Linked DNA regions of Cricetulus griseus. The protein of the gene in region 1 binds, or shares a complex with, the protein of each later gene. Links are inferred from orthologs where the notes say so. Each region holds a gene or a part of one and is shown on either strand. Other genes may lie near its edges. The genes, in order: Timp1 and Mmp3.

Region 1 (9,765 bases):
TCCAGCCTCCAAACTCAACATTTCAAATGGATTCATTTTTCATTGGACCCTGGATGCTCCCACCAGGTTATCATTGTCTTGAGTTTGTTCCCAGACACTACACTGAAACGGCACTGCTGTGTGGTAGTTCTTTATTTCACTGTCTAAAAGAAAGAAAGATGGAGGGGAGGGGAGCAGTGTGCAGGCTTCAGCTTCCACTGGGGGTAGGCTTTGGGTCATCTAGGCCCTCAGGGATTGCCAGGCACACAACTGTGGATTCCGAGGCAAGCAGGCAAAGTTACGGCTCTGGTAGCCCTTCTCAGAGCCCGTGAGGATCTGATCTGTCCACAAGCAATGAGTATCACTCTCCAGTTTGCAAGGCATGGTTGAACAGGGAAACACCTGGAAGATGAGAGAAAGGTCCACTCTGGGGGCTTCTTCTTCCCCTGTTCCCTCCCCTATGGAGAGTGTTCCACTCTCCTTCTGGCAACACAGAGCAGCTGGGAAGGCTTGACATTGCCCCACCTGTGTTTAGACCCGAGAACAGCTTCTCCCATTTGGGGAACAGAAAGCCAGTGTTCTGGAATGGTGGGTAGGAAACTATCTCTTGAAGTCACTCAGGCAGGCCTCACAGGGCAGAGAACTGAGTAGAGGGTAACAGTTGGCATGCAGAGAGGTTAAGCATAAGAATAGGCAACGGGGCTCTCAGACAGTGACTGAGGTCAGAGGATATTTATTGCTGTCAGGGAACAGTTTTGAAATAGCCAGGTCGACATATCCCTGTGGATTTGGAAAATCACACGTTGAATTCTTGCAGAACATGCCTGGGAAGCCAAACCCAATCTTGGGAGATCAGAAACAGACAGCAGTATTTCAGAGTAGACACAAAAGAAAAGTTAGAGAGGCAGAGAAGGTTCAGGGAACATGCAGTCCCAAGATAATAGAACAACCAGTATCTCCAAAAGAGCAGGTTTGGGACAACAAGAGAAATTAAAGGCAGTGGTTGGGTTTGGGAAGCAGCTACAATAACAAAGAATAGCCAGAGGGAAAAAGAAACCGTTCCAGGTATTATCTCCAGAAAGAGAGCTGGTTCTAGGAACTTACTGTGCACACCCCACAGCCAGCACTATACGTCTTTGAGAAGGCTTTTTGCTGAGCAGGGGTCAGGCTATACCAGGGAACCAAGAAGCTGCAGGCACTGATGTGCAAACTTCCATTCCTTAGGCGTCCTGTAAGGGAATGGAGAAACCAACAGGCTTTTGATTGGCCGGGTGGTGCTGGGGTTACCTGATTAGCATTAGTTTACAAACCTTCCCGCCCCCATTTCAACCAGGTCCTTTCCCTTTAGAGCCTCGCTCCTCCCAGTTGCCAGGAAGCATCTGAGGATGAAGGGGTGTGGCCCAAAGCGAAGGGGCGGGCCTCACCCGCGATGAGAAACTCCTCGCTGCGGTTCTGGGACTTGTGGACATATCCGCAGAGGCTCTCAAGGGCTGGGGTGTAGGCGAACCGGAAATCTGCGGCATTTCCCACAGCGTCGAATCCTTTGAGCATCTGCCCATGAGTGACAAAAAGTCTATCTTTTACTGATTTAATCCTCCCACTCCATTACCTCTTAACCTGATGTCATATATCTAAATCACAAAATTATGGGAAACGTCCACACCAACCAAAGGCTAGATGCTAGTATTTTGAGGAGGAGGAAGAGGTTAATATGGCTATGGAGGGAGACAGGGAAAGAGGAGGGAGGGAGAGAGGGAGAGAAGGAGGGAGGAAGGGAGGGAGGGAGGAAGGAAGGAATACCTTAGTCATCTTGATCTCATAACGTTGGTATAAGTTGAAAATGATTTCTGGGGGCCCCATGAATTTAGCCCTTATGACTAGAAAGGAAGGGGAAAATAAGGAGTTAAGTGAGCAGCATGAACCCATAACAGCAAAACATATATACAAGCATAATTCTAATAGAGACAGCACACTTAATGGTTTCCATGTTTCCATGTCTGTTGATTGATTCATCTATACATTGTCTACTCTTCCAGGTACTGTTTTAAGCACTTTTCATATATCCATCTGTTGGCTTTCTCAACAAATATTTTGGAGTGCCTGATATATGCAGCCACTGTTCAGGGTGTTAGGGACACAACAGTGACCCAAACACAGGAATCCATTTCCTTGTGGATCTCACATTCAAGCCAGGAGGATATAACTAAAATTAAGTAGCCAGGCATGGTGGCACAAACCTGTAACCCCAGCTCTGTCAAGGTGATGAAGGAGGACCACTACAGTGTGAGTTCAAGACCAGTCTAGACAATTTAGTGAGACCCTGTTTTAAAATGAAATTCACAAAAGGGTTGGGTTTGTACCTCAATTTGCTTAGCATATGAAAAGTCCTAGGTTCAATCCCCAGTATGGAGAAAAAGGTATATGGATTGTTAAAGGCTGTTAAGTATGATGGAGAATTAGAAAAGGGAGGAGATTGACACATATTCTTTGCTTGACCACAATTTACTCAGGCTCATTAACCTTCTTCCAAGCTTATAAGTGCAGTTTCTCTTAAAAATGCAGTTGTAGATGCCAGGTGGTGGTGGTTCACACCTTTAATACCAGCAATCGGGAGGCAGAGGCAAGCAGATCTCTGTGAATTTGAGGCAAGCCTGGTCTACAGATAGGAGTTCCAGGACTGCCAGGGATGTTACACAGATAAGCCCTGTCTCGAAAAACCAAAAAAAAAAAAAAAAGAAAAGAAAAGAAAAGAAAAAGAAAAAGAAAAATCCACTTGTACCAAAGTATACTAAATCAGTTTAGTGAAAAACCCACCCTCATCTGACTCTCCTCGATATGTGAAGGGGCTCCATATTTTCCACTGACCATCAGGTGATTACACTGGCCAGTTCTCAGCAAGAGTCCTGAACTGGGTATGGTGGCACAGGCCTGTAATCTCGGCACTTGGAAGGCTGAGTGAGGAGGATGAAGGGTTCAAAGCCAGCCTGGGCTACATAGTGAGACCTACTCTCAAAAAAGTGAGCTCATGGGCTCGAGAGATGTCTTAATGGTTCAGAACACTTGCTGCTCTTCTAGAGAACCCAAGTTTGATTCCCAGCATCCACATAGCATGGCTCACAACCACTTGTAACTCCAGCTCCAGGGGATCTGATGCCTTCTGGATTCCACAGGCACCTGCACACCACACATGGTGCACACACACATAGACATAAATAAAAATAAACCTTTTTGTTTTTTTTTTTCGAGACAGGGTTTCTCTGTGTAGCTTTGGAGCCTATCCTGGCACTCACTCTGGAGACCAGGCTGACCTCGAACTCACAGAGATCAGCCTGCCTCTGCCTCCTGAGTGCTGGGATCAAAGGCGTGTGCCACCGACGCCCAGCAAAAATAAATCTTTTTTTAAAAAATGGGCTTAGCCTGAATCTTTTTACTCCTTGCCTGTGATATTTCTTCTCAGTGATTTCCCAGTCACCAATCCCTAAACTGTTCCTTGGCTGTAGAGTTCCATTTGCCTATGCTATGTTGAGAGTTAAGCCCAATCTCTCTCCCTGACTGAAAAATCTGATTGCCATGGTCCTGAATAAAGTCTGCCTTTCTGTGCCCTAAGAAGTGTAATTCACAGTTTTATTTAACAGGGAATCAGATGTACTATATGGCAGGGATTAAAATTTAAACAAAGTAGACAGGCACCCCAGTAAGATGACTCTTGAGGTAGCCACCCATGTGAATAACTACAGAGAAATATCTACCTGGGAGGGAACAGCCAACACAAAGGTGGGCTTAGGCCTAAGGATGTCAATATGGCCAAAGTGGATCTATGCAAGGGTAAGTACAACTGTTGTAGAGATAACTGCCATCATGAGCCCTATTGGACTAAGAGGCACAGAAAGGGGGCTAGACTCACCCAGGTCGGAGTTGCAGAAGGCTGTCTGTGGGTGGGGTGGGGCACAGCTACAGGCCTTGCTGGAGGTTATCAGTGATAGCAACAAGAGGATGCCTGAGGCCAGAGATGCAAAGGGGGCCATAGTGGTATCTGCTGGGAGAGACAAGGTAGTAGTTGATCCCCAGCCCAACTGATCTGTTTACCCATTGGCCCTAGGGAGATTAGGGAACCCTGAGAATCTTAAGGGGTGAGAAACCTGGAGAGGTTTAGGGGCTTAAACAGTTGGGAAAGTTTTGGGTTTTATTGAGTTCCAGTGATTTAGGAGACAGTGAATAGGAAGATAATGGAGTTGTGGCAGTTGATGAGTCCAGGAGCTGAGAAGTTTGAGAATTTAGTGGAGTTGGAGAAGTCTGGAGACTGACATTTGTGGAGTCAAGAATTTGGGGTTTGGGAAACTGGAGAAGTATAAGGGGAGGCTGGGAGCTGAGGGAGATTAAGATATAATGGGCATGGGGATTTGTGGCTACTAAGGGTTTTAGAGGAGGTTTGGGATTTTAGGAAACTGGGGGAAATTTAGGGGTTATGGGGTCTGGGGGAATTTGGGAGTTTAAGGTAATGGGAGTGTTGAGGAATTTGAAGGCAGAAGAACTTTTGAAGTTCCAGGAGCTGGACATGGCAAAGTTTGAGGGCAGGGGGAGTTAAGGGAGCTATAGGGGTTTGGGGGAACAATGAAAAATTCAGAGGAGTTGGCAAGTTGGGAGGTCTTTAAGGCATTAGAGGCTTGTGGGTTTGGAGCACTTGGGGATGAATGCTAGGGGCATGAGGGAGTCCGGAGAGTCTAGCTTGGGATACTCATTCCAAAAACCTTCCCTTCGTATTCCCCCTTGGCCAAATAGAGGTCTTGATACCTGCAAGCCCAGTCAAGCAGCTAGTCTGGCAGGGAACCGGATGTGCCTGGTGGTCGCACCAACACAGGCTCCAGCCAGGACACCCGGCTCCCACTTACCTCTGGTGTCTCTCTAGAAGCCCGATCTGCGGCGATGGCGGCAGGGACTGAGCGGTGAAGAATAAATGTCCATGCAAGGGGCGGAGTTGGCGCGGAAATCACAGCCTCCAGGCTTCCTGGACGCATTACTCATCCACCCACCGCAGGAATCGAAGCCTAGGGGCGGGCCGGAGGACCGGCCTAAAGATACTCCCTCCACTGCCAGCCAGCCCACTGTGCCCCTTCCCCCCAGCTCCACGTCACTCGCATTCCTCCCTGGCGGCCTTGAAGGGGAAATGGAAAGGCAGCCCAAGCCCCCACAGCCCTGTGCTTATCCAGTTCCCTACATTCCCCAAACTTCCTATGGCTGAAGCCAATGGCTTCATTCCTGCGCCTTAGTACATCTACTTTGTTGCAAGGCCGGCTTTCCTAGTGGACCTGGCGTTTTTGTTGAGGGGTGGCAGAGGGGAAGACAAACTAGAAAAAGAGTTGAGGGCCATGAGATGGGAGAAGAGACACAAATACATAGTGAGGAAATTGATTCACCGAGAGTGTCTGTTATTTTTTGAAGATGGCAGTTAAGTGTGTCAGAACTGGGAGAGGAACTGAGGTGGCCTGCAGATAGAGCTTAGGTGGTAACCTATCCCCAAAAGTTTGCTGTGGTTGTACACATGAGTGAGCCTAGAACTTAGGATGTTTGAAGATAGTCTGTGCTACGAGAGACCCTGTCTTAAGCAGAAACAAAATCAAGCAGGCAAATAGCTGAAGTGAAGAACTTTGCCAGGGTCACAGAACAAAACTGGGATTTAAACCTGGGCTTCTTGACACTGAGATCCTCACTCAGGCGGAGCCCAATCTTGGCAACCAGGGAATAGTGTGGTGAGAATGGGGGGAGTGAGGGTGTGGATGATGGTGAAAGAAGCTAGTGAGTCAGTAGAAAACCCATCCCCACCCCATCCTGCCCAGCTCCTTTCCCACCAACCAGCCCACATCCCTGGTGGGGTGGGATGAGGCAACTACTGCCCACCCGCTTCCTGATGATGCAGGGATATTCTCTGGGGTCGTGTGGAAGGTTCTATGGGATGATTAACACCCTCAATTAATCCAGGCAGGGTAGACCAATAGTAATGACAATGGCTGTAATCCCAGCAGGCAAGTGGATCCGGAGAGTTTGAGGATAGCCTGGTCTACATAGTGAGTTCCAGGACAGCCTGGAACATACATAGTGAGACCTTGTCACACACACACACACACACACACACACACACACACACACACACACACACACACACACACAAAATGATAATGATAGTGATGACAGCAGCTACTTGGTTGAGCACTTACTGTGTACTATTGCTAAGATCTTTGTGTACAGTCATTTTAGCTAATTAAATTTTGTTAATTTAGATTAGCTCAATAACCACAGCATACAAAAACCTACTGCCAGCACTCAACAGAACCCTCACCATATACAAAAGATTTCTTATATTTATTCAGTGTGTGTGTGTGTGTGTGTGTGTGTGTGTGTGTGTGTGTGTAGCTGTACTCATGCTTGTATTGCTCTCCACCTGCAGGAGCCAGTCCTCTCCTTCCCTACGAACTCACACTCAGGTTGTCAGGCAGCAAGCACTGGATTTTTTGTTCCTTCATTTGCTATTGTCCTCATTCTCCCTTAATGTCAATTAATGAAGAGTTGTCAAATCAGTAATAACAGCGATAATAGTAACCAGCACTTTGAAGATTCGGGTTTACTTTATGTGTATACTAAGATTTTTTCCCCTCTGAAGTAATTGATTTATTCTTCCCAACATGCCTGTGAGTTACAATTCATATTTTCATTATTTAATGAGAAAATAGAGACAGAAAGGGGTCAAATGGCCTGTCCAGGAATGATAGTGAAGAAATCACTGTGGTGGGGAGGTAGGGATACAAAGAAAGGAACAAAGGAAAGGAAACCAAAATTCTCAACTGTCTGATTGTGAAAGTGAGGAGTGAGAGTAGATGAGACAGGGCTGAGTAAGTAGGTGGCGGGACTGAGGAGAAGTAAAGAGAGGGAAAGTCCAGTCTCTCCTCTATGACCCTGCTTCTGACACCAGCTCTTTATAAAACCTGAGTCAGCCCACTTTTGCCAACTGGTTACATGTGAGGATTTTGATTGTTGTGCAGGTTTGAAATGCAGTGGGGTGGATGTCAAGGTGTTTGGCTTGTCTCTATCTGGGGAACTGGGTAAGTGTGAGGAATTCACTGGCATGTGCAAATACCTGATGATCCCCAAGAAAGTGTTAAGTGCTTGGTCTTGATTATACCTTTTGTGCAGATCAGGAAACTGAGGCCCAGAGAGATGGTATCTACCCGGGATCTCACCCGGCCTTAGGAAGAAGGCCAAGATAGCAGGTTACGGCTCTCCAGGAAATCCCAAGCCCTCTGTATGTACATATGACAGACAGACACACTTACATGCACACACAGCACTGTGTTCAAGCTCAGGAACAGAGGAAACAAAGTTGGTTTATAAAAAGGATCCAGAAAGCTCAGCAAGTAGAAGTAGGTATGCTTGCATGTGCACAGCTCTCTGGTGTGTCTGTGCCTCTGTGACTGGCATGTGTCCCTTGGTGGGCTCAATTTCCCTTCCTGAGAGCCAGGCATATATCTAAGGGTGTTTCTTCTGAGAGTTGAAGGTTGCAAATATAACTGTGCATGCCTCATACTTCTCTGTGTGATGAGTAGACGCCTGAGTGGGAGATCTCTCTCTTCTCACACGCAACACATACCTTGGCATTGTTTCTTTGGCCTGCTGCCTGGATGACACCCTTACCGCCATCCCCCTTTCCAAACCCATGCCACTCAGCCCTCCCCCCATCCTCATGACGACACACATTTGGGAAATGAGGGAGGAGGAAGTTGTAGAGGGAGGGAGAGACCTGAAGGTCAATCAGTCACCCTTAGACTATGGGGCTTCCTGTGCTTCTTGGGAACTGCCACTGCCCAGGAACCCCTCTAAGAATGCATTCCCTGCCCTGTCAGTAGGAGGCAGGGGCTCTGAATTTATACACGGGATATGATGGGGCTAGGGTCCTCTAATCTGGTCCCTTCTACCCAGCCCAGGTTATAGGGAAACTTAACACATCTTTACCTAACTCATAATTGTCTGCATTTATGTCCACACCCAGGAGTGTTGTCTGTGTGTTTGATTTTCTGTATGTTTGTGTCATAGATATGGAAAAATAATTTTGCATCAAGATATACTTTTCATGGACCCAGGAATGTAATGAGGTCTGAGTTATAGGAATTTGGTTATGGAAATGCCTAAACGTGCACACACGTTCTGCATGTTGTTTTGATCCTTCTGTTCATTGTGGACATGCTGGGGAGTGATGCATATGTCCATTTATTGTGTGCTTCTAGCGTTGTGTGTGCTTCTATACTGAATGAGTGGCTCTTTCTGTTAGGTAGGTGTGAGCAAGGGGAGGGAGCTCATGTGTGTGCTCCAAGGTGCCGATTGTAGGTCTTAGGAGTGTGAAGAGCATGCTGTTCGGGCGTGCTCACATGCTAAGAGCAAGTGAGCTGACTGACTGGATTTCTTCGAAGCCCCCGATGTGATTTAAGCCTGTGGTGGTCTTTCTCAATGCATATGGACTTCTCAATAGATGTGGACACCTCTGACTTTGGCTGGGTAATCTCACTTTTGAAGGGATGTGTGTGTGTGTGTGTGTGTGTGTGTGTGTGTGTGTGTGTGTGTGTGTGTACATAAAGATGAAACTTACATGCAAGGCTTGACTGAAGACATTCTGCATGCTAACTACCACACCTTCATACACACACTCACTCCAATAGCTAATCATCATAAAAACAAACTTTCTTTTCTGGGAAATTCCCTCACCCTTATCTAAGGCCTCTGGCTGGGAAGCAGATATGGATAGTCTAGGACTTAGAGAGCAGAGTAAGTGACTGGCAGGCAGTTTTCTGCAATCTGGGCTCAGAGTCGCTGTGAAACTATTGACTGCAGTTCCGCCTGTCTCTGACCAACCTCTTTCTGGGGGTGGGGGGAATGGCAACCAGTGTAGCTCACATTCTATGGGTCACCAACTCTTGGAGGTCAGCACTACTGCTCTGACTATGCCTCTTCTGCCTTCATCTTCACTAGCTCAGCAGCACAACATACCCTGTGGTTGTGAAGATGGGCCACGCACATTCTGGGATGGGCAAGGTGAGTCACAGTGGTGCACACATGCATGTTTGTATAGTGCATGCTCTGGCACTGTACACAGTTACATGTGCATCTGTGTACTCAATGCACAAAAATTCTGTTTGATGATGCTTTCTGTGATGCCTTCATATAACTGGATTTTGTATTTTCTTTTTCAGCCCACATTTCTCTCATGCAATCAGCCAATTTTGTATGTCCCATTACTGTGCTAGTGTACCAAGCATATGGCTATGAATATATAAGCATGGCTCTGTGATGAATACATATCATCTTTTATGTTCCAGGCTCTTGGGGTCCAGTATGCTTTCCATCCAGCTGATTTTGTCTGTGTGTATGTAGCAAGCAGATTTGTAATTTGTAAGTTAGTGTGTCTCAGCTTCTGTGTTTGTATATTCCGTGTACAACTGAGGTTTTATGTCTATGTATGGCCTATGTACAGTTCTTTTTACAGCTTTATTGAGAAATAATTCTACACTCCATTTAACTCCCCTGTTTAAAGTAGATAATTTGGGTTGAGGATGTAGCACAGGGGTACAGTCCTTGTTTAGCATGTGCAAGGCCCTGTGTTTGGTCCCCAGCACTGCAAAAAAGAAATGTTTTTTTTAAGCATATTCAATTACATAAAGCAATTTTATGTTTGTGTGCACATGTATGAAACAGGATACCCATAATTATGCATGCTTCAGTGCCTTGGCATATCCACTTCATATT
Region 2 (9,765 bases), on another chromosome or scaffold:
TACACCTGACTTTTCCATGGAAACTCTGAAAGCCAGAAGGTCCTGGATAGATATTCTACAAACACTAAGGGAGCATGGATGCCAACCCAGACTACTGTACCCAGCAAAGCTTTCAGTCAATATAGATGGAGAAAACAAGATATTCCATGACAAAACCAGATTCAAACAATACATATCCACCAATCCAGCCATACAGAAATTTCTGGAAGGAAAACTGCAACCCAAGGAAGTTAACTACAACCAGAATACAGGCAATAGATAATCCCACTTTACCAATAGCCAAATGGAAAAGGAATAGAATCCTACACATAATCTTGCCATGATCACCAAATCAAAAGCAAACAAGAATGAACAATCAATGGTGATTAATATCCATCAACATTAATGGTCTTAACTCCCCTATAAAAAGACACAGATTAGCAGAATGGATAAGAAGACAGAATCCTTCCTTCTGCTGCATATAAGAAACACACTTCAAAGACAGATGGTACCTAAGAATTAAAGGTTGGGGAAAGATTTTCCAATCAAATGGACCCAAGAAACAAGCAGAGGTAGCATTCCTAATATCCAACAAACTGGATTTTAAACTAAAATCAATCAAAAGAGATGAAGGAGGTCACTTCCTACCCATCCACAGGAGAAATCCATCAGGATAAAGTCTCAGTTCTGAACATTTATGCCCCAAATAAAAAGGCATCCACGTTTGTAAAAGAAACATTACTAAAACTCAAATCACACATAAAACCGCACACACTTATAGTGGGAGACTTCATCACCCCACTCTCATCACTGGACAGGAACACCAGACAGAAACTTAAAAAAGAAACAAAGGAACTAATAGAAGTTATGGCACAATTGGACTTAACAGATATGTATAGAATATTCCATCCAAATACAAAACAATTCACCTTCTTCTAAGTGCCACATGGAACCTTCTCTGAAATCAACCACATACTCAGCAACATAGCAAACCTCAACAGGTACAAAAAACTTGAAATAACCCCCTGTATTTTATCAGACCACCATGCTTTAAAGTTAGAATTCAACAACAACACGAATTACAGAAAACCTACAAACTCATGGAAATTAAGTAACACCCAATTGCACAATTCATGGGTCCAGGAAGAAATAAAAAAAGAAATTAAAGATTTCCTAGAATTCAATGAGAATGCGGACACAACATATCCAAACCTATGGAATATTTTGAAAGCAGTGCTAAGAGGAAAGTTCATAGTGCTAAATGCCCACATGAAGAAACAGGAGACTGCTTCCTGAACATAACACCAGTAGCACAGACACTGAGATCAACCAATTGATAAATGGGACTTCCTGAAACTGAGAAGCTTCTATAAGGCAAAGGACAAAGTCAGCAAGACAAAACATAGCCCACAGACTGGGAAAATATATTAACCAACCCCACATCTGACAGAGGGCTGATCTCCAAAATATACAAAGAACTCAAGAAGCTAGTCTCCAAATCACCAAAAAAAAAAAAAAAAAATGCAATTAAAAGTGTGGTACAGAACTATATAGACAATTCTCAATAGAGGAATCTAAAATGGCCGAAAGACACATAAGAAAGTGTTCAACATCCTTAGCCATCAGGGAAATGCAAATTAAAATAACTCTGTGATACCATCTTACTCCTGTCAGAATGGCCAAAATCAAAAACGCCAATTTCAGTTTATGCTGGAGAGGATGTGGAGAAAGGGGAACACTTCTCCACTGCTGGTGGGAGTGCCAGTTTGTACAACCACTTTGGAAATCAGTATGGTGACTCCTCAAGAAAATGGGAATCAGTCTACCACAAGATCCAGCAATTCCACTATTAGGCATATACCCAAAAGAAGCACATTCATACAACAAGGACATCTGTTCAACGATGTTCATAGCAGCACTATTTGTAATAGCCAGAAACTGGAAGCAACCTAGATGCCCCTCAACTGAAGAATGGATACAGAAAATGTGGTACATTTACACAATGGAGTACTACTCAGCGGAAAAAAAAAACAATGGAATCTTGAAATTTGCAGGAAAATGGATGGAACTAGAAGAAACAATCTGAGCGAGGTAACCCAATCACAAATAGAGAAACATGGTATGTACTCACTCATATGCTGATTTTAGACATAGAGTAAAGGATTACCAGCCTACAATCTACACTGCCAGAGAAGCTAGTAAATAAGGAGTACCCTGAAAGAGACAAACATAGTCCCCTGGAGAAGGGGAAAGGGTCAAGATCCTCTGAGCAAATTGAGAGCAGGGGAAGAAGGGGAAGGGAGCTAGGAGAATGAGAAGGGAAGAAAAGGAGGGATGCAGAGGACATGAGGGAGCAGAAAGTTTGAGTCAGGTGAAGAATAGAGGATAAAAAGAATGGAGATACTATAATAGAAGGAGACATTTTAGGTTTGCAGAGAAATCAGGCACTAGGGAAATGTCTGGAGATCTACAAAGATGACACCAGCTCACAATCTAAGCAACAGAGGAGAGGCTACTCTTTAATGCCCTTTAATGCCCCCCCATAACAAGATTGATGACTGACTTATATGGCACCTGATAGCCCTCTTTCAGCAGTTGGTGGATGTAGAAGCAGACACCCACAACTTACCACTGAACTGAACTGGAATCCAGATGCAGAGGATGAGTGAAGAGCAAAGGGGTCCAGATCAGGCTGGTGAAACCCACAGAGACAACTGACCTGAACATCGGAGAACTCTTGCTCCCCAGACTGATAGCTGGGATACCAGCATGGGACTGACCCAGGAACATGGATTTCATTGAGGAAACCTCGGAAATCTACAGTACTTATCCTTAGCATAGGCGTGGACTTTGGGAGCCCATTCCACACAGAGGCATACTCCCTGAACCAAGACATGTGGGGATGGGCCCAGGCTCTATCCCAAAGGCTATGATAGATTCTGATGACACCCTATGGAAGACCTCACCATCTGGGGAGCAGAAAGGATATGTGTTTTAGTTGGAGGGTAGGGGAGGGTGGGAGGGAGAAGGGAAGTAGGATTGTCATATAAAACAATCTTGTTTCTAATTCAAATTTTAAAAATCTGAAGGAAAAAAATAAAAGAAATCAGTGGTGGGTTTTTTCCTTTAGGTTTCCTTCTGGATATTCCATCCTGTGTGTGGAATATAGTATATGGGCTGTGGTGACATATAGTATTAAGTGTAGCTATCTATATAGGTATTTATTTTCCTTACCCACATCTCACTGTATTTAGCTTTGGCTTCTAGAAGTTCTGCACAACTTGGGCCTTTTACCAAGTTAGTCCACTTCTATCCGAGTCACAAACATTACTGTGTCTGAACTATAATTAAGTTTTCCAAATTAAAAAAAAAAAATCCCAGTTTTCTCTCCTGCCAGGCAGGAAGCATTTCCTGGCGATTAATCACTGTTTTGCCTTGCAAAATTCAGAAGGTTCAGAGAACTTGGTAAAGAAAGTTGTAACACCCTACTTTGATTTTCGGCTTTTGGAAGCAGTCCCATTTGGGTGGAAGCAATGATGAGTCAGTTTGTGGGTCATCCCTAAAAGCACTGTTACTCTATAAAACTTGGGTTCAGGAGGGTGTTTGTAGAAGGAGGTGGGCAGAGAACACGGCAAAGGCAGCATAGAGCTGAGGAAAGCCAGCGGAAATGAAGAGTCTCTTGGTCCTGGTCCCGCTATGGCTGTGTGGAGCAGTTTGCTCAGCCTACCCTCTGTATGGTGGTAGTGCAAGGGAGGAGGACACCGGTATGGAGCTTCTTCAGGTAAGTTGGCCTCCATGCTCTTCGGCAGGGCACAGCTTTACATTATATAGATCGGTTCTGACTGCTTGTGAATGAGTGATTCCACAGTGGAGGAGGCTTAGAAGCTGTTGGGTCTCAATATCACATGATTCTTCCTTTTGTATGAGAGGAAACAAAGGCCATAAATACTTTCAATATCACACAGCATGGCGGAAGCAGCAGCACTAACGCTGGAGGTAAAGGTGTGATAAGGAAAAAGAGCATGAACTGTGCCTTGCTTCGGACCTTCCTTTACAGTTTGAGTCCATTACATTTTAGAAAAAATATTAATAGTGTTAATAAATGAGAGCCTTGCCTAATTTTTCCCTAGCAAGCCACATCCTGTGAAAACTATAAAATTGGGGAAATTAAATAAAATTACCCTGACAAATATTCTCATAAATGTTTATTTATTCCTGTTAGTTTTCTTTGCACTAAATACTTATGAATTCATCCCCTCACTTTCAGTGCTTTAGTGGCAAACAGAGATGTTGCGTTTCAAAAATAAAGCAAAGAAGGAGGAGCTATCACTGACAAATTAAATGAAATAGTATGCTTATGATTTCAGTGAATGAGAAAAATCGGTTAAAGAGACTAAGAAAAGTAAAGCCCTTGCCTGGCTTTGAGTCCAGTCCTGTAATCTCAGGGTTCAGGAGCCAGATGCAGAAGAGCATGAATTCAAAGGAGTTTCTTGGTTAGATAGTGAGATACTGGAATGAATGAATGAATGAATAAATGAAATGAAGGTATATGAATACACACATTTACTAAAAATAGCAATAGCTAAAAGAGATCAGAATTGTGACGTAAGGGTGACATTGATCCCTTTAGAAATACTTAGAAAACTACTACGGCCTTGCAAAAGATGTGAAGCAGTTCACTGAGAAAAAGAACAATAGTCCTGTTGTCAAAAAAATCCAAGAAATGCAGAAGTTCCTCGGGCTGGAGATGACAGGGAGGCTGGACTCCAGCACTATGGATGTGATGCTCAAGCCCAGGTGTGGCGTCCCCGATGTCGGTGATTTCAGCACCTTTCCAGGTTCACCAAAGTGGAGGGAAACCCACCTCACCTATAGGTAGGTAACGGGTCCGAAGTTTTCACACGTGTTAACACTGTGTCAGAGTCATCGAGCAGCACACACTGCCTTCTTCCTCTTCTCTCATGCAGGATTGTGAATTATACACCAGATTTACCGAAAGAGAGTGTGGACTCTGCCATTGAGAAAGCACTGAAAGTCTGGGAAGAGGTGACCCCACTCACGTTCTCCAAGCGCTCTGAAGGAGAGGCTGACATAATGATCTCCTTTGCAGCTGGAGGTAAAAATGCAAGAACTGCCTGAAGCACACATTGCCCAGTGGTGTTTTACTGAGTCCTAATTAGCAATTGGTGCAGGTGTGTGTGTGTGTGTGTGTGTGTGTGTGTGTGTACATATATATATATATATATTATATATATATATATATATATATATATATATTCTCCCTTCAGAACATGGAGACTTCATCCCTTTTGATGGGCCTGGAGCAGTCTTGGCTCATGCGTATGCACCTGGGCTGGGGATTAATGGAGACGCTCACTTTGATGATGATGAACAGTGGACTGAGGACACGACAGGTTAGTGCTCTACCTCACAGCATGACTTAGTTTAGTTTCTTTTCATATTTGGGCAAATTTTCATAATCAGCTGTACTAATGCTAGAATGTGTTCTGGATTCCAGTGGAATACATTTTTTGTTTTAATCATTGCTTAGTGTATTTCCAGATAACTAAAATGCATTTATTTTTCTAATAAGCACAATATAAAATCTGTCACTAAATGTTTGACCTGTCCAACTCAGATGTGATGGTTTTTGTCTTATCCTATATTTTGTTGTTATCCCTTAGAACCCTGTTCTTTTCCAATGAGAGACAGAAAGGGAGGGGATCTGGATGTGATAGGGAGGTGGAGAGGAACTGGGAGGAGCAGAGGAAGTAGAAAATCTAATCAGAACATATTGTATGAGAAAAGAATCTATTCTCGATAAAGGGAAAACACTACATTTTTAACAGTTGTGGATCTTGTGTGATCTACAGGCTACTATTACTAAAGACTGCCTAATGGTATCAAATTGTAGATATTCAGGCAGTACAATAGAGCACTACTTGACTCTTGTTTTTCCCCTTTTACTTTTCAAACTAGAAGCCAAAATGAAACTTCAGAAATCTGAGATTTTTGTTTATTTTGGTTGGTTGGTTTTATTAAGCTCACCTTTTTGTGATTTCTGGTTAAGATGAATTTTGATCAGTTTCCGAAAGAGAACTATCCCTGAAGTACAATGAACTGTCTAGGCAGAAGATTTTTTAGTTCTTATCTTCAGGGATTGACTAAGTTTTCAAAACTTGGCTGAAATAAATTGTATTGCTTTTGAGACTGAACTGGATTCACAATGAAAACATAAACTGATACCTGTTGAAAATACAAATCTAGCTTTTACACTGAATAAAATTCATGTTTTGTAGAATTAGCATTTCCCCCAGAGGACCCTTATTCAAAATTAGGACACACTCTGGCCCACAACATCCATAGGGAATATTTAGGAAAGTTCTGCCAGTCCTAATCACCTCACACATCCTGATCTCAGCACTGAAGGCATTCTTTCACACAACTCTAATGAGAATGTGAATACAGTTAGAGTCTAAGACCTCATTTATGATAAACACTTATGCATGTTATGTTTAAAACCAATTTTACAAACCCTATGACATCTGTATCCTTAGCCATTTTTGGCACTTGGTATGTAAAAGGATGATGAAGCTATAAAATGATGTAGGTAAAATCCGATAGAAAGAGTAGGGTTCATGCTGGGCGGTAGTGTCACACACCTTTAATCCCAGCACTTGGGAGGCAGAGGCAGGCGGATCTCTGTGAGTTCGAGACCAGCCTGGTCTACAAGAGCTAGTTCCAGGACAGTCTCCAAAGCCACAGAGAAACCCTGTCTGGAAAAAAAAACCAAAAAAGAAAGAAAGAAAGAAAGAAAGAAAGAAAGAAAGAAAGAAAAGAAAGAAAGAGTAGGGTTCCGGTTATTTAAGGGTTTTAGAATTAAGATGAATACTACCCTGAGATTAGTTAGCTGATATTGAAATTGTCAAATGCTAATCACATGCTGGAGTACTTTTAGCTTTTCCTGGACAAAGGAAAAGAGAGAGCTCTGATATGCTAAACAATAAATAACAGGCTCCATTTCTAACAACAATGAGTGAGACCTGCTGTTCAGACAGTTTGAGGTCAAAGAGAGGGACCACTGGATGAGTTTGGAGACTTTAGATTGATTTCAAGCACGAGTTTTAAAATATACTGTTTTCCTGCCAAGTGTGGGGTCAGTCTATTATTCAACGAGACAGCAAACAAGGTGAGTACAAGTCTGTGTGTTTTCAGGAAGTAAATGAATGCTGTGTCAACTGGCCCATATGATGTAGATGTAGTTAAGGATAAGCAACTATTATTTATGATTTCTTCCATAGGTACCAACTTATTCCTGGTTGCTGCTCATGAACTTGGCCACTCACTGGGCCTCTTTCACTCAGCCAAGCCTGAAGCATTGATGTACCCAGTCTACAAGTCCTCCGGAGACCTGGCCCGCTTCCGTCTCTCTCAAGATGATGTGGATGGCATTCAGTCCCTCTACGGTGAGTGACGGGACAAAGGAGTACTTGAGGCTGTTGTGATGTTACATAAGTATTTGTGATTAGATTCAGAGTCCTTGGGGGTGTTTGGGGAGCACAGAATTGACATGCAGGCCACATTTCTCTTAACGTTGCCTCCTTTAACCTGTTCCCTTTAGGACCTCCCCCAGCATCCCCTGATGTCCCCGTGGTACCCACCAAACCTAACTCTCTGGAACCTGAATCATCGCTGATGTGCAGTCCTGCTTTGTCCTTTGATGCAGTCAGCACCCTTCGGGGAGAATTCTTGTTTTTTAAAGACAGGTCAGACCCAAGAACCCTAAATTGCTATCTATTTTTATGAAAATTGCTTAGAAAGGGCAATAACCAGGAAAACAATCAATATAAGCATTTTAAAGACAAACTCTCAAGCCTGGACTCTCTCAGATCTGACACTGACCTTTCCACATGTTTCTAAAACTGTCAAGTTCATTTTTGAAGCTGGATAGTTTGATTCTTGTCACTGAGGTTTTGTCCCCAGATGTTCTAGTCATAGGCTGTTGTTTAGAGGGTAGAAATGATCCTCAGAGCACAGTTTATCTGTTTAGAGGGTAGAAATGATCCTCAGAGGCAGAGTTTTATCTTTACTTTCTTTCAAAATGACACTAGGAGAAGCATCATATTTTATCGGTTCATGTACTGCTCAGTAAGTATGCCTGGGAGAAAACATTCATCTGCATGAAAGGGAGCTGAAAGTTTTCTTCCCCAGATTTCTCCACACTTAAGCAATCTGGATATTTTGAGAGGCCCAGACTGGCTGGAAGCTGTTATGCTCTTGCCTCTTCCCAAGTGCTAGGATTAGGGGCTGTGCCACCATACCCTAGTTCAAGATCTCTTGTGTATCCTGGATGTTTCTGTACAAGGATATATTTATACATCACACCCATGCACAGGCACACACACCTCTCACTCACTGTCTATCTTTTTGGGTAGTGTGAGTGGTACTTTAATTACCAATTACACACTGTTTCACATTTATTACATGTACTTAAAGCTTATGCTGAACTAATTAATTGACATGGTGGAGAACTTTGGTTTCACAGATATTGCTCTGGGAATCTATGACAGGAGGTCTGTTGCAGTCTGAGAGAGAGAGAGAGAGAGAGAGAGAGAGAGAGAGAGAGAGAGAGAGCACTAGTGGATGAGAGAACATGGGGTGAATTAGCACTGACACCCAGGATAATACACTAAAGATAAAAGGCTGTTTTTCAAATGCTATTTTTCTTTTACATCTATTTTTTAGGCATTTTTGGCGAAAATCTTTGAGGACCCCTGAGGCTGGCTTTTATTTGATTTCTTCATTTTGGCCCTCCCTCCCTTCCAGCATGGATGCCGCATATGAGGTTACTAACAGAGACACTGTTTTCATATTTAAAGGTGATTCTTCCACAACATTGCTTTAACTTAGTGAAACAGCCTTCTGATGGGAAAACTGAACAGGGCTTTACTATGTCAAATTCTGTTCAATTAAAAAATAGCCAAAGATAATAAAGAAACACATAAAACCAACATTTTATTTATAGTTAAAAAGTGAACTCAGGGAGATACATTGACTGGGTTGAAAATCACCTCATTTGTTCCTAGCTCATTGTTCCCAGCTGTGCATTTTTGTTGACTGACCATCCTAGAGCTAAGGCCTAAATCTATTCACCACAAAAAGACAAGGTGCTAAGATTGTATTTCCACAACATCCTTACTGGACTTTTAACATGACTGCTGTTTCTGTTGCTGTTTTGTTTCTGTACAGGGGATCAGTTCTGGGCTGTCCGAGGGCACGAGGAGCAAGCAGGCTACCCTAAAAGCATCCACACTTTGGGTCTCCCTGCAACTGTTGGGAAGATTGATGCCGCCGTTTCTGACAAGGAGAAGAAGAAGACGTACTTCTTTGTAGAGGACAAATACTGGAGGTGAGATGCTGTGAGGATGGTTTTGTGAAGAGACTGACTTGAGAGTTGCTTTCTCTCTCTGAGGAAACACTTCCCTTATCCTCACTCTCCTTTCTGAACGAGGACAGGGATTTTGACAACTGTGGGGAGGGCTTGGAAACACAGGCATTTCTTAAGTGTTCCTGTTTAGAGTGTGCCTCCCCACTCCCCAGCCCCGCCCCCACCCCCGCCACACACACACCTCATGTAGAGCCCCTCTTCTCTACCTGCTAAATCCTACATATGCTTCAAGCTCAGACTTAATTCCCTCCACCTTCATGAAGTCTTTCTTTCTGAACTTCAAGTCCAACTGGCCTTTATGTCCTTATTAGGAGCCCACACCTCAGTTTATTGCTCAT

What was found.
Region 2: the proteins of Timp1 (region 1) and Mmp3 are in contact, whole or in part, in a crystal structure (PDB 1UEA), measured with the Homo sapiens proteins. The link is inferred for Cricetulus griseus from reciprocal best matches to the Homo sapiens genes TIMP1 and MMP3. Residues at the interface, in NP_003245.1 of Homo sapiens: Cys24, Thr25, Cys26, Val27, Pro28, Pro29, Val52, Thr56, Leu57, Tyr58, Pro87, Ala88, Met89, Glu90, Ser91, Val92, Cys93, Thr121, Cys122, Leu156, Ser157, Pro159, Gln173, Leu174, Gly177, Glu179; in NP_002413.1 of Homo sapiens: Phe100, Thr102, Phe103, Phe171, Tyr172, Gly178, Asn179, Val180, Leu181, Ala182, His183, Ala184, Tyr185, Ala186, Thr207, Thr208, Gly209, Thr210, Val215, His218, Glu219, His222, Phe227, His228, Tyr237, Pro238, Leu239, Tyr240, His241, Ser242.

What each region holds. Positions count from the first base shown.
Region 1 is NC_048604.1:125,719,712-125,729,476, reverse strand, and holds Timp1 (metalloproteinase inhibitor 1), read right to left. Parts: upstream 5,025-9,765; 5' UTR 4,869-5,024; intron 4,016-4,868; exon of another isoform or gene 4,013-4,015; 5' UTR 4,005-4,012; coding exon 3,884-4,004; intron 1,857-3,883; coding exon 1,780-1,856; intron 1,531-1,779; coding exon 1,404-1,530; intron 1,209-1,403; coding exon 1,084-1,208; intron 382-1,083; coding exon 220-381; 3' UTR 115-219; downstream 1-114. Other genes in the region: Syn1 (synapsin-1), read left to right, coding at 8,992-9,054. UniProt on the Homo sapiens protein: Metalloproteinase inhibitor that functions by forming one to one complexes with target metalloproteinases, such as collagenases, and irreversibly inactivates them by binding to their catalytic zinc cofactor.
Region 2 is NC_048597.1:121,902,267-121,912,031, forward strand, and holds the start of Mmp3 (stromelysin-1), read left to right. Parts: upstream 1-3,646; coding exon 3,647-3,760; intron 3,761-4,609; coding exon 4,610-4,854; intron 4,855-4,946; coding exon 4,947-5,095; intron 5,096-5,267; coding exon 5,268-5,393; intron 5,394-7,280; coding exon 7,281-7,445; intron 7,446-7,600; coding exon 7,601-7,745; intron 7,746-8,724; coding exon 8,725-8,858; intron 8,859-9,228; coding exon 9,229-9,388; intron 9,389-9,765. UniProt on the Homo sapiens protein: Metalloproteinase with a rather broad substrate specificity that can degrade fibronectin, laminin, gelatins of type I, III, IV, and V; collagens III, IV, X, and IX, and cartilage proteoglycans.